2 linked regions of the Mytilus edulis genome follow. The protein of the gene in region 1 interacts with the protein of each later gene in a pairwise test. Links are inferred from orthologs where the notes say so. Each region holds a gene or a part of one and is shown on either strand. Other genes may lie near its edges.

Region 1 (6,321 bases):
TTGATAATTCTTGTGTACAATTTGGAGTTTAGTATGGTGTTCATTATCACTGAACCAGTATATATTTGTTTAGGGGCCAGCTGAAGGACGCCTCCGGGTGCGAGAATTTCTCGTTGCATTGCAGACCTGTTGGTGACCTTCTGCTGTTGTCAGCTATATGGTCGGGCTGTTGTCTCTTTGGCACATTCCCCATTTCCATTCTCAATTTTATATTTTATTCTTTCTTAGTTACGTAACCCTTATAGGGGCATAAACTGACAATTCATGTTCATCGATTTGAGTGACTCAAATTCTTATATTTGATCACAGGCACTCGTCTCAGAATTTGTTTTCCCTACCGTATATTCCTTTATATAACACAATTAAGTACTTAACTTCCGATTTAGAAAATTGCCGGACGGTGACGAAATTCTGTTATATACCGATTTCTCGGCTGTTCCGTTTTAATGGGTTTACACTAGTAATTTTTGGGGCCCTTTATAGCTTGCTGTTCGGTGTGAGCCCAGGCTCCGTGTTGAAGACCTTACATTGACCTATAATTAATGGTTTACTTTTATAAAGTATGTCTTGGATGGAGAGTTGTCACTCAAATCTTCCTATATCTATCAAACCCATGTAATAATAATTCAATTGCAAGCGAACCATTTATCAGCGATGTTTCTTTACTTATTATAACAAAATTGAACTGTTATCAATGATTGAATAAAAAAATCGTTTATTTTTTTCATATCTTGTACAGGTATTTTTTTCCACCAATCAATATACATTGCGCCCAAAATTTGAGCTACACAATCAAAAAAAGTAAAAACACAAAAATACTGAACTCCGAGGAAAATTCAAAAAGGAAAATCAAAAATCAAAAGGCAAAATCAAAAGTCCAAACACATCAAACGAATGGATAACAACTGTCATATTCCTGACTTGGTACAGGCATTTTCTAATGTAGAAAATGGTGGATTGAACCTGGTTTTATAGCTAGCTAAACCTCTCACTTGTATGACAGTCGCATCAAATTCCATTACATTGTCAACGATGCATGACTGACAAAATAAAGCCCAGTAAATGATTATTAGAATGATTAGAGTGATTAAAGTACATTTAAACAAAAATGTCGGCACATGTATACGATGCTAGATTGAGAACTGGTCAGCCAGAATATTTCAGTTGATACAAATGTATTTACAAAGATTAGTTGGAAACTGATTGAGTCTTAATATACGGAAGTGATTATATAGTTTGAATTTATTATAGTGCAATTTTTATATGGATAAAACACATACACCATTTTGATAAAATTTGGGAAATTTTCTTTTTGGGGGATGTTATATGTATCTTTATTGTATGGTCGTAGCTATGGAAATAGATGTGGTTTTTTATGCTCTTAAGCAAATATAACTTTAGCGGCACGGGGAGGCAAGTATATTTTCCCCCATGTACGTAATACTAATTTAAACAAAGTAATATGTTGGATAATCAACATTGTCATTGACACATCGATCATTCAGTAATTTTGGAAGAAACTGTGACTTGGAGAAAAAAGTAAAATCACAAAAAAAATGAACTTCAAGGAAAATTCAAAAAGGAAAGTCCCCAATCAAATGGTAAAATCAAAAGTTCAAACACATCAAACGAATTGAAAACAACTGTCATATTCCTGACTTGGTACAGGCATTTTCTTATGTAGAAAATGGGGGATTGAACCTGGTTTTATAGCTAGCTAAACTATAAATTATAATTCTTAATATATCATACATGTCCCAGCGAACCGAAACGTGTGTATACTGTATACGCTTAATGTGTCCCCTTACCCCAGTTCCCTAGACTTATGCTTATGGTAGACAACTCCTGGTCGAGTTTTTTTTATTTTTCAAACTACAAAAAAATGATATTTTCTAGAAGTTTTTTTTTTTTTTAAATTGCATATAAAAGTTTAGCGACTCAATTGAGGTTTCAATAAGGCCTTACGTAAAGCTTAATTAAGCAGCATTCATATAATAGATTCCTCTAAATAAATAATGTATTGTTACTGCCGGTTTCTAAAAGTTATTGTGTGAGTTGCTTAGGATCAAGTTTTCTTTTTTAGCACAATATAGGAATTTAGAAAAAAAAGTCAGAAAAAACTACTAAAAGCACTGACTTGCAATATTGATGGAAAAGGCCGTATGTCAGTTTTACTAGGGGGATTAAATGAAAATTGTGAAATATTATGAGGGATCAAGAAATTTTATATGTTTGAATTCAAAATGACCAGCCCCCCTCCCAGGTTAAAAATGATAAGTCCCTTTAGAAATTGATTTAATTGTTTATACCTTTTTTTAAATTAATATATGTTTGTTTTTTATTTAAAGTTTGACTGGTTTACACATAAATTTTACTGTTTCCTATCTCAGTTTCCTGGTAAGATTTGTTCACAGAATGGGATAATATTAGAAGTCATAGGCGGATTTTTTTTTTTGGGGGGGGGGGGCAGGGGGGAAAAATTTGGTTGCTTATATAGGGAATCACTGAAGCGTTACTGGAGCGGGCCCCCTCTTAGGTCAGTCAGTGGGCCCCACTTATGAAAATTTCTGGATCCGCCACTGGAAGTTTCAATTTATTTCTTTTAAACAGATGAATCCAATATTTAATCATATTCATAAATTATTAACATAAAAAACGTGTAGGAAGTGGACCTAGAGTCTTTTGATGCAATATCTGATTTTTATTTAATTCTTACTCCAAGTACAAATTTACACAGCTTAACAATATCATCAAGACCGGAGACGAATATTTTAGGTGGCGAATCTGTCTCTTAGCGATACGCGCCGGTAATAATATATTGGCGTACGCCAAAGTACACTGAAACAAGTTAACCTCAACATAATAAACAGGAAGTAGTAAAAATGGCAGAAGTAACGCAGCTTCTTGATCAAGAAATCCCAGAAGGTCGCCAACATCTACAAGAAAGTTATATAAATCTTGACAAAGTTGCACAGTATTGTAGGGACAATTATCTAAAGGTAGTCCTTTATTTCTTCAAAAACGCCAGTTGCCTGCGAACAACACAGGCTCACAGCTTCCTATTCTCACTCAGTCACAGTCCTCATGAATAGCATAATTGTTAATTCACTCTTGAAGGGGTTCTCATTTTGGGGTCTGGTCCAGGATCCCTCTTATTGTTAAGTGAGAATCCTGTAATCTCAAATGTACTTCTTGTTGCCAAAATAGCGCATGTAATTTCTTGTGTCCCGCAGGACTTCATTTCCCGTTTTCCGCTTAATGATTCTACTTTCAATCGTCACACGATCCAATGACCAATCCCACCTCACGCTTAGACCCCAATGAGACTCACTTAAAATTGGTAAGTACTACAATGTATAAAATGGAAGAGATTGAAAATAAAAACAGAAAAACAGACATGTGCAATTTCTAAATTAACATCAGTCACCACTCCTGTCATTCATTGTTTTATATAATCCCTGAATGAAATATTTTTCACCTAATAAAATGCTAAAACCTTACACATTTGCCAAATAGACCTTTATCATGTTTATTACTATTTGAAAATCTGCTCTGCTTGACCCAAGAATCTGTGCCTCTTGAATATACACCTTATCGCTATTTGTCCGCCATTGCTGGAAATCACACAGGTTCCCGTAAAATTTTGACGTCATAAAACTAAATATCTGACGCCACAATGGAAAAGTGATTGTTGTTGACGTCAAAAGTTCAAGCGGCCGGGTCAGCCGGGATTAGCGATAAGGTGTATTGACATCATACATTTTACAACAATCAATTTACCATTGTCAAATGATTGTGGGGGTCTCATTGGGGGTTCTGATCCCGGATCCGGCTTTCTGTTGTGTCAGATTCCTGTATCCCGTTTACACTATGTATGTAAGCAATTCACATTTTTTTTGTAATTTCCCGTGTCCCGCTAGACTCCATTTCCTGTTTTCACAGCACAAGAATTTGACTTCCATGTGTCACGCTTACAAAAAATCGGCAATCCCGCGTCACGCTTAGACCCCAATGAGACCCACATTGTGGGGTCTGATATTTTCTATTATCAGTGTTCTAGCTAGAAAGTTTGAACAGGGCGCAACGCTCGCCCTTTTTTGTTGACGCCCTAGCTTTTTTCTGTGGTTTCTCTGGCGCCCTGCCGTTTTTATGGCGAAAATCTCGGCATTTCTGCCTTTAAAATACCGACAAATTCGTAATTCTTTCATAAACAGGAAGTTCACCTAGCTGTGTAAACTGTACAATTAAGTGACCCATTAAGTGCATGGCTTCACTTGTCAGCTTTGATGTCAAGTACATTGTTAATTAACAACAATTACCTTAGCTTTTATAGGTCATAAATAATTTTTTAGAACTCAAAAATGTTTGACAAAAAAAAGATTGTTACTTCCCCTTTTTTGTCACCTTTCACAATATTCTTCTTACAGTCAGGGGACTTACTTAAACAAGTGATTTTCTAAATCACTGATTCAAGTAACATTATTTCCATAAAGGTTGGAAGTTAGAGTTTTCTTTCTTTAATAATCGCCTATTTAAGTAGTACAAATTAATCACTAGAAGAAGTGATTTAATATTAGTGTAGCTTTAAATATAGAATACTAATGATCCAGGGACTAATTATGTTTCTAAACAGTAAAACTTATCAGAACCAACATCTGTGTTGTCTAGGATGACCAGGTCATTTCAGGTGATGACCTTGTACTGAATCTAGGATAATGACATAAAAATCACTTGTTTAAGTATCAGACCTGAATTTCCTTCCCAAAAATCACTTCTTTAAGTATCATTCTTTTAATAACCTCCACTAATTTCAACACCCCCGAACAGTGAAATTTTTATCGCGAACAGTAGCATTTTATTACACAATCTGAAAGATGAAACCTTGAACTTCACAGGAAAAATACCCTCACTGCTGTGAAAAATCTTTTAAGAAAGTATCAGTTCATTATGTAAAGCCATTATTATAGCATTTTTTCAACTAAAGTAGAATTTTCAGGTAAATGAAAGCATCAAAGGCATAAAACTTACTAATTAAAAGATGTTACTTAAACCTATGTGTTTAAAATTTTGAAAAAACTACAAAATCCCAATTTGTGACAAAACCTCGAATTTGCTACTCAAATAAGTGATTTAAAAATCACTTATTTGAGTAAGTCCCCTGACTGTCTTAAGTTTTATGTTCTTTTTAAAAAAAAAGATTGAATTAATAACAAATTGAATGCAAATGCATTTTAAAGTATAACTTTTAATTAAGTTTACCTAAAAAACCTGAATAATAAATATTTTTAAAATTATTTTTCACATCTTCACTTCCATTGATTGATTTATGAAGTGCATTAAAAAATAATTTGAAATAAGAGTGTTTTCCAATTGCCTTGACTGTCAACAGTTGCTCTTGGCATTGTACATTATGCCCTTTAAACAAAAGTAAATGCAACAAAATATTTGAGGTGATTGAGTGAGTAAATGTACATTGTAGATGATACCCTGATATTAAAAGTTAAACATAAAACATGGTGCCATTATTTAAAATTTATTACTCAATTTTTACTGAAAATTGATAATACCATAGTGCCTTAGTTATATACTAATTAATTATAACACATAAATAATTGCCCTTTTTAATGACATGTACTCGTTAAATTGCCCTTTTTAAATCCTGGCTAGAACACTGATTATGACATCAAAATTTTCAGTGATGTCCATGCCAGTAAGGGCTGAAAAATAGATAAAGATGTACATGATATAGGCCACTTCACAGTTAAAAATGTATTTCAGCCATATTGAATAGGGGCAGATTGTTTTGGATAGAAGTGATAGAAGTGGAAATAGTATGAAAGTATGGAAATACTATATAGATAATTATAAGAAAATGTGATATGAGTGCCAATGAGACAACTAACCTTTCAAGTCACAATTTGCAAAAGAAAAACCCTTAGACAGTGGCAGATCGAGATTTTCATAAGAGGGGGGGGCTTCAGTCTTGCTTCAGTGATTCACTATAAAATCAACCAAGTTTTCCCCTTGAAAAGGAGGAGGCTCAGGCCCCCTGGATCTGGCTATGCTATAGGTCAAAGTACAGTCTTCAACATGGAACCTTGGCTCACATGGAACAGCAAGCTATATAATATAATAAAGGACCCCAAAATGATCATGATGATGAGTGTAAGACCATTCAAACAAAATCAACGGTCTTAGCTATATTATAAACGAGAAACACTTACATGTATGAACCACATCAACAAACCAGGAACCACATCAACAAACAACAACTACTGAACATCAGGTTCCTGATTTTTGACAGTTGCAAACAAATCCAGC
Region 2 (6,321 bases), on another chromosome or scaffold:
ATTTTTTTTACATGAGTTCAAAGGAGCCAAGCTGTTAAAAACAATTATCTTTATTTTTGGTTATACAAATTGTTATTATTACAATAAGATGGATAAATTTAATAAGTGAACAATTGAAATTAAATGTTTGTTTAATTGTTTATAAATCTGAATCCTATTTTGTTACTCTGGCCCAAGGCGACACTTGCTCAGTAACACATGCAAGGAATGTCATATTTTTTTTTTACATTATTGCGAACCCAATTGAACCTTTCAATAGATTCACCTGATAGTTACCTGTCCATTTAAACTTTTGGCCGTTCTATTGTCCCATTGAACAAATACAACAGGTATTGTTCTCTGTATAGTCTATTCACTCAGACCTTTAAATTTCTTCTAAGAGAAATCGATCACTCATTGATTAATCTACCAGAGTAAAAAGTTTATCTGCTAAATTGATGGAAATTACAAACAAACCGCGCACCGCGATTAAAATTTTAAAAACTTTAACCACAGAGTGAATGTAATGTTTCCTCGCAGAAAAACTAAGTCCATTTATAAGTAAAATACGGAAAAGCGGAAATTTATTTTCACAAAATTTTCTTCTTGATACTATCTTATCATCATAAACAAGCTTCTGTCCAAGTATGGTACAAATCAAGGATAGTTTATGAAAGTTATTAAAATTTTAAAAACTTTAACCACAGAGTGAATGTAATGTTACCTCGCAGAAAAACTAAGTCCATTTATAAGTAAAATACGGAAAAAATAGAATTTTATTTTTACAAAATTTACTTCTGGATACTTTCTTATGATCATAAACAAGCTTCTGTCCAAGTTTGGTAGAAATTCAGTATAGTTTAAGAAAGTTATTAAAATTTCAAAAACTTTAACCACAGAGTGAACATTTGTGGACGCCGCCGACGACGAAGGAATGTAGGATCGCTTAGTCTCGCTTTTTCGACTAAAGTCGAAGGCTCGACAAAAATGGGTGCGAAGGTATAGTTGACCATTATCTACTGGATTGTGAAAATTATGAGAAGGCTAGAGAAAAACTCCTCTCTGCACTCTACATGTACTTCATAACATCAAAACTTACACTTGAATCAGAAGTATTATTAGCAACAACAGAAAATGATAATTACAAACATCACATAGAAGATATTCAACATTTGTTAGGGGTCTTTATTAAAGATACTGGAAGGTTCACAAAATAGATAGTTACGGTTTTATAAGGGTTAATTATTTATTCATTTATTTGTTTACTTTTTTTTAGTTAATTAATTATTTATTTATTTATTTGTTTTTCTCTGCAGTGCCACATCATAAAAACAAATATACAAATGAGTTTTATACAGTAGCGACATAAAATTACCAGGATGATCGAAATTACAGAGAGATTATAATGTCAAGTTGACACTTCTAAAGACTACGCGAACGTACTTCCGGAGCGAACATGAGAGGTGCGAATGTGTAGGCTGCAAATACGAAAGTGTATTGGGCGCGAACGGACCTGATACCTACTAATGCCCCCGAAGTATCCAATCTAGTTTTAACTCCGGTTTGCATACCAGATATTGTGTGGGAGGGTAAAACCATGGAAATATGGCGGTCATGTCTTGAAAGCAATCTCACGGGTACTCGTAACTGACATCAGGTAGCACCTCATTCAAATATAAAAGAGGATACAAATTAGAATTTTGGGAAACAGATTATCTGGAAAACTTTTCAAAATATGGTTGTCATACTTTTGTAAATATTTCTGGTGCTGCTTTCAACTGAATCGTTGAAGAAATAGCATTTTGCTGATTTATTGGTCTGAGATGGGCTGTGAGATCCTCTAAATGATCTTTGTTTTCATGATCTGAATTGTCTTCATCACTGCTATATTGTTGGAGTGCCAACATTTTAGGACATTTTCAATAATTGGCGTTGAAAGAGTAAAACTAGGCAAAAAACGTTTCAAAAAGCATTAACCGGAAACTAAATGAGTAAACAACAGTATCGAACAAAAAGTTTACTGCAGTAAATGAAATTAAGTTTTATATCAAATTTTATTTTTTCATTTATTGTCTGGTTTTGTTAAAGTTTTTGTAAATTATAGAAATCAATTGAATGAAAGGAATATTTTCTTAATGAGGACTTCAATCAAATTTATGTCAAGTCTCGTTGATAATGAGAATGCATGATAATTAACGAGATTTCATCGCCATTTTCTTGACTTCCCGGATTGATGATGCTGTATCGTAAATATTTACATTTTTCCAATCATGAAGTTTGAATGCAACTGGTGAGCATGTTTCTATATCACAAAAGAATCATTTGTTCGAATAACCACGTGAAAAATCATGCCATTTTTCTTAACTACTCAAAATTTATTATAAAACTTGGGTGTGCCAGTGACCTGTTTTTGTTTTTCTGCTGTCATCTTTCAGGTCGAATCCAAGAAATGTAGACAGATTTGATCATTTCAAGAATATGTTCATAGTTACACATTCAATCTTTTCATACTGATCCCTTAAAGCATCTTCATATCTCAATACACAGCTCAATTCGTAATCAATCATTCAATGCAGCTTAGGGTCGGAATGTTAAATTATCCAGATAAATTTTTGTAAAGAGTAAACCACAAATAATGGTGTAGTCCTGAATTGGTTATCAGTGATGTGAAAGACCACTCTTAAGTTGGCTGCATTTCTGTCAAAACTTTGGTCTAATTGTCATATTGAACATCATTTTTGCGTTTTTAGGGCATCATCACTAATGTCACTTGGGCCAGTCACCTGTTCCATGCTGTCGCTGGGCAATCAATTGTAATGTTGTTCATAATTCTTAATCACTTTGTCTTAACCTGAACCTCTGTGAAACAATGCAGCGAGTATACTTACATAGCTAAATCCAATCTCACTAGGGAATTATGATTTTAGTACAGACGGAACTAACAACATGAACAATAATATCATGTATGGCGGTTTTTAAAAATAAAATGAGACAGATGCAGCTGAGATGCATTATATACTTGCAACAAATTTTATTATAAGATATATATGAACAGTACACTGAATTCATTGTTATGACCATGATGACATGTATGACTTTGATTACAAATTTTCATGGTTATAGTGGTATCAAATTAAAGGAACCAGAGTTTGCTAAAATTTATTTTGACCTTTGACAGTAAGACTGTCATGAATGACATGTCAGTCCCAGGGATTTCCATGGCCTGTTTAACGATGGCCCCCCCCCCCCCCCCCCCAGTGATATTGTTTGCCTCAAATTACAGCCGATATTCGGCTTTTTCCCCTAGAGGAAATTCCCAATCACTAAAAAAAATGGCTTAAAATTCCTACCAAAAAGTTAAACTTTTTCCCAAAACAGTGAAGGCATTGATAGTAATGTTTGTAAATATCGTATTCATGTCATTATTTTGATATTAGAAAGCACTTTTGAGATCCGGTTTTCTGATCAGAATCAATATGGTGCTTGTAACACAAGTGGTTTTCAATGCATTTAAGTACCAACATTGCTTCTGTTTCTTTCCCCTCTCCGAAAAGTACCTTTCAGGTTCAAAATGTCTGACAACCAAAATATCCACGAAAAAAAAGTGCAAAAAAGACAGCAAAGGTCAGTAAAAAATCGGAGATGTGTTTAGAATAAAATATACAAATTTCCCAATTTCAATAAAAAATATCGTTTTTCCCAATAAAAAACGGTAGAGGTAGTTTTGAAAAAAGACAACAATATCACTGCCCCCCCATCTTTCAAATGTCTTGCGCCATCGTCAAATGACTTGCACCATCGTCAAATGACTCGCACCATCGTCAAATGACTCGCGCCATCGTTAAATTGTCTTCCGCCATCGTTCAAAACTTCATCATTTTTTGTAGCCCGACACTATTTTTTTTATCATTTATAATCAAATGCATGTAATTGCATAACCCTTAGGCTTTTTATGTTATAATCCAATACAGTTCTAACGCCTGAGGGATATCCGGATTAAGATCGCTAATCACTTGTACCTGAGCTTGTACAGGTAGATCAACAAATCAGACAGGAGAATACTATCTGAGGATAGACGATCCATTTGTCGAATTAATCAACTAAGTTTCAGCAAATGATCGATGATTATGATAATTTAGATTAAATAAATAAATTAATAATACAGTTACAAAGAAAACAGTTTAAAATGTCGAAACACATGCTTTTTCTTGACTTACGCAATTAGCATCCCCCTTTTTTAAGAAGTACAAAATAAGACGCAAAACAGTAAATATTTATTTCATTGCAACTAACTCAAGTACTGCTGTAACGATAATTTAGAATTACTTTAAAAGTTTAAAAGTAAAAACTTAAATATTTCCTGTAAAGAAATATCGTATCGTAATTCCGAATTCATTTTGTATATTACAATCAATATTGATACATCCGTGTTTCCGGTTTGTATTCAGACTCGAAAGATGGATGTTGCACAGCATCAATTTGCCAGATACAGTCATTAAAAACCTTTTCATTTGTCAACGTTTGCTTTACAAATCTCTTTAACCTTTAACATAACCCGTACGAATCGTTTTGTTGTTGCTGCAAATCAGCCATACCGTTAATGGGTTATGAATTTGACAGTGTCCATGAAAAATAAGCTCCACATCATATGATTTTTAACCCCCATAACAATTACCAAAAATACAAGAAATCTACATGGGGACCTTCATGACAGCTTTTGGTCATTCTCGACTAAGGGGACCATGAAGACTTGGCATTTGAATGGTTAAAAACGGCAATAAATGAAAATATTGATACATTGTACTTCTAATTCTATAATGAAAATTCAAATAAATATAATTTAAATAAGCAATGAATTAGCATGTTCATCATTCCTTGTATGGAGGTATACAATACTTCCGATCGTGCTACACTGTACAGCATAGACACTGTTTGTAATGGTGAAAGTTCCTCCATCGTTCAATTTTCATCCATGGAGATCCCTGAACTGTCCTACAGTAAATTTTCCCTGAAATATAACAAATTGTAGCTTGCCGCTTTGGTTTGTTTATAATAAATTTCAGAAACCAGTACCAGAAAAAACGTACTAGAAATTGGCTGTGGGTACATTTGATGAAGGATGTAAAATAAACCATGTTTATATCATAGGCACTGCAACAGCCATTTTTGAATAGGTCATTTGGGTTGCTGCTTGCGATCAAAATACCAGATCAAGTATCACTTTGAATCTCATGACTCTGGAGAAACCACAACTTGAAATGTGAAATGAATTACACATTTTTTATTGTAATGTATGCAACCTTAAGCAAAACCACAAAATTAAATATCCACGAAAATGCGAGTTTTCCTCAAATCCATGAAAATTAGTACGTTGACAATTGAAAAATTATTGAATACACAATATTCAACATGTTCAACATGTTCAAAGGGACTGCTCTCTGTTATTACAGCTTTTACATTAATGCTAGCAAGACAAATCTTTGTTTGGCTTGCTTGCTTTGTTTGAATCAATGTTTGCTCAAGCATGGCAATTAAGATAGGCGGGGTTTCAGCTTGTGTACATCATGATACTTAAATTTAATTGGACGTTATGTTTGAGGTAAAGGACCTTAAATTTTAAAACATCACATGACAATTATTCTCACATGTTTCCTTACCTGTAAATATACGATACATTCGTCAAAATTATCTCCCTATTACGTCGATTCATTCTCACAATCGATCGTAGAAATGGAAGATAAATTTTTTTTTCGAAGATATGCATTGTCATCATCCAACTTAAAAGACTGTCGTCTATAACTTTTATTTAAAAAAAAAAGTTTTTCGAACACACCTACTCTGATTTTGTGATTCATTACACATGTTACATATGTATTTCACTTGACCTATATATTTCATCTTTTAGTACTGTGATTTTTTTTATGTTATAAAGTCAACCTGTAGCTTTGCTATATAAAAATGATAGAATCTGATGATGTATCAAATACTCTTGCTTAGTACGTTTTTAAGACAAAATATTCATTTCAAACGCACCCTAACATAAAAATGTGCACTCGATTTTCTCTTTTCAATACCCATTTTTTGGAATTTTTTCTTGAGTCACATAATGGAAGGGAAGACACGAAAGTAACTGAAATAACAGTTAATAAAAATATAAACTTTTTTTGCACTCGACGCAAAACTGTGGAAGGCCAGTTTCTCAGCCTCATACAAGAAAAAAGTTAATATTTCTCTTTCATTGACCAATTATTGTTTTTTTACAGGTAAGGAAACATGTGAGAATATTTCTCATGTGATGTTTTAAAATTAAGTCTCCTTATTTTTAAACCTCAAACATAACGT

The links.
Region 2: the proteins of abl interactor 1-like (region 1) and actin-binding protein WASF2-like interact in a two-hybrid assay, tested with the Drosophila melanogaster proteins (2 studies listed by BioGRID, with this or other methods). The link is inferred for Mytilus edulis from reciprocal best matches to the Drosophila melanogaster genes Abi and SCAR.

The regions. Positions count from the first base shown.
Region 1 is NC_092345.1:44,932,272-44,938,592, reverse strand, and holds the start of abl interactor 1-like, read left to right. Parts: upstream 1-2,844; 5' UTR 2,845-2,882; coding exon 2,883-2,999; intron 3,000-6,321.
Region 2 is NC_092353.1:60,953,725-60,960,045, forward strand, and holds the start of actin-binding protein WASF2-like, read left to right. Parts: upstream 1-2,175; 5' UTR 2,176-2,269; intron 2,270-6,321. Other genes in the region: pre-mRNA-processing factor 17-like, read right to left, coding at 1,728-1,886.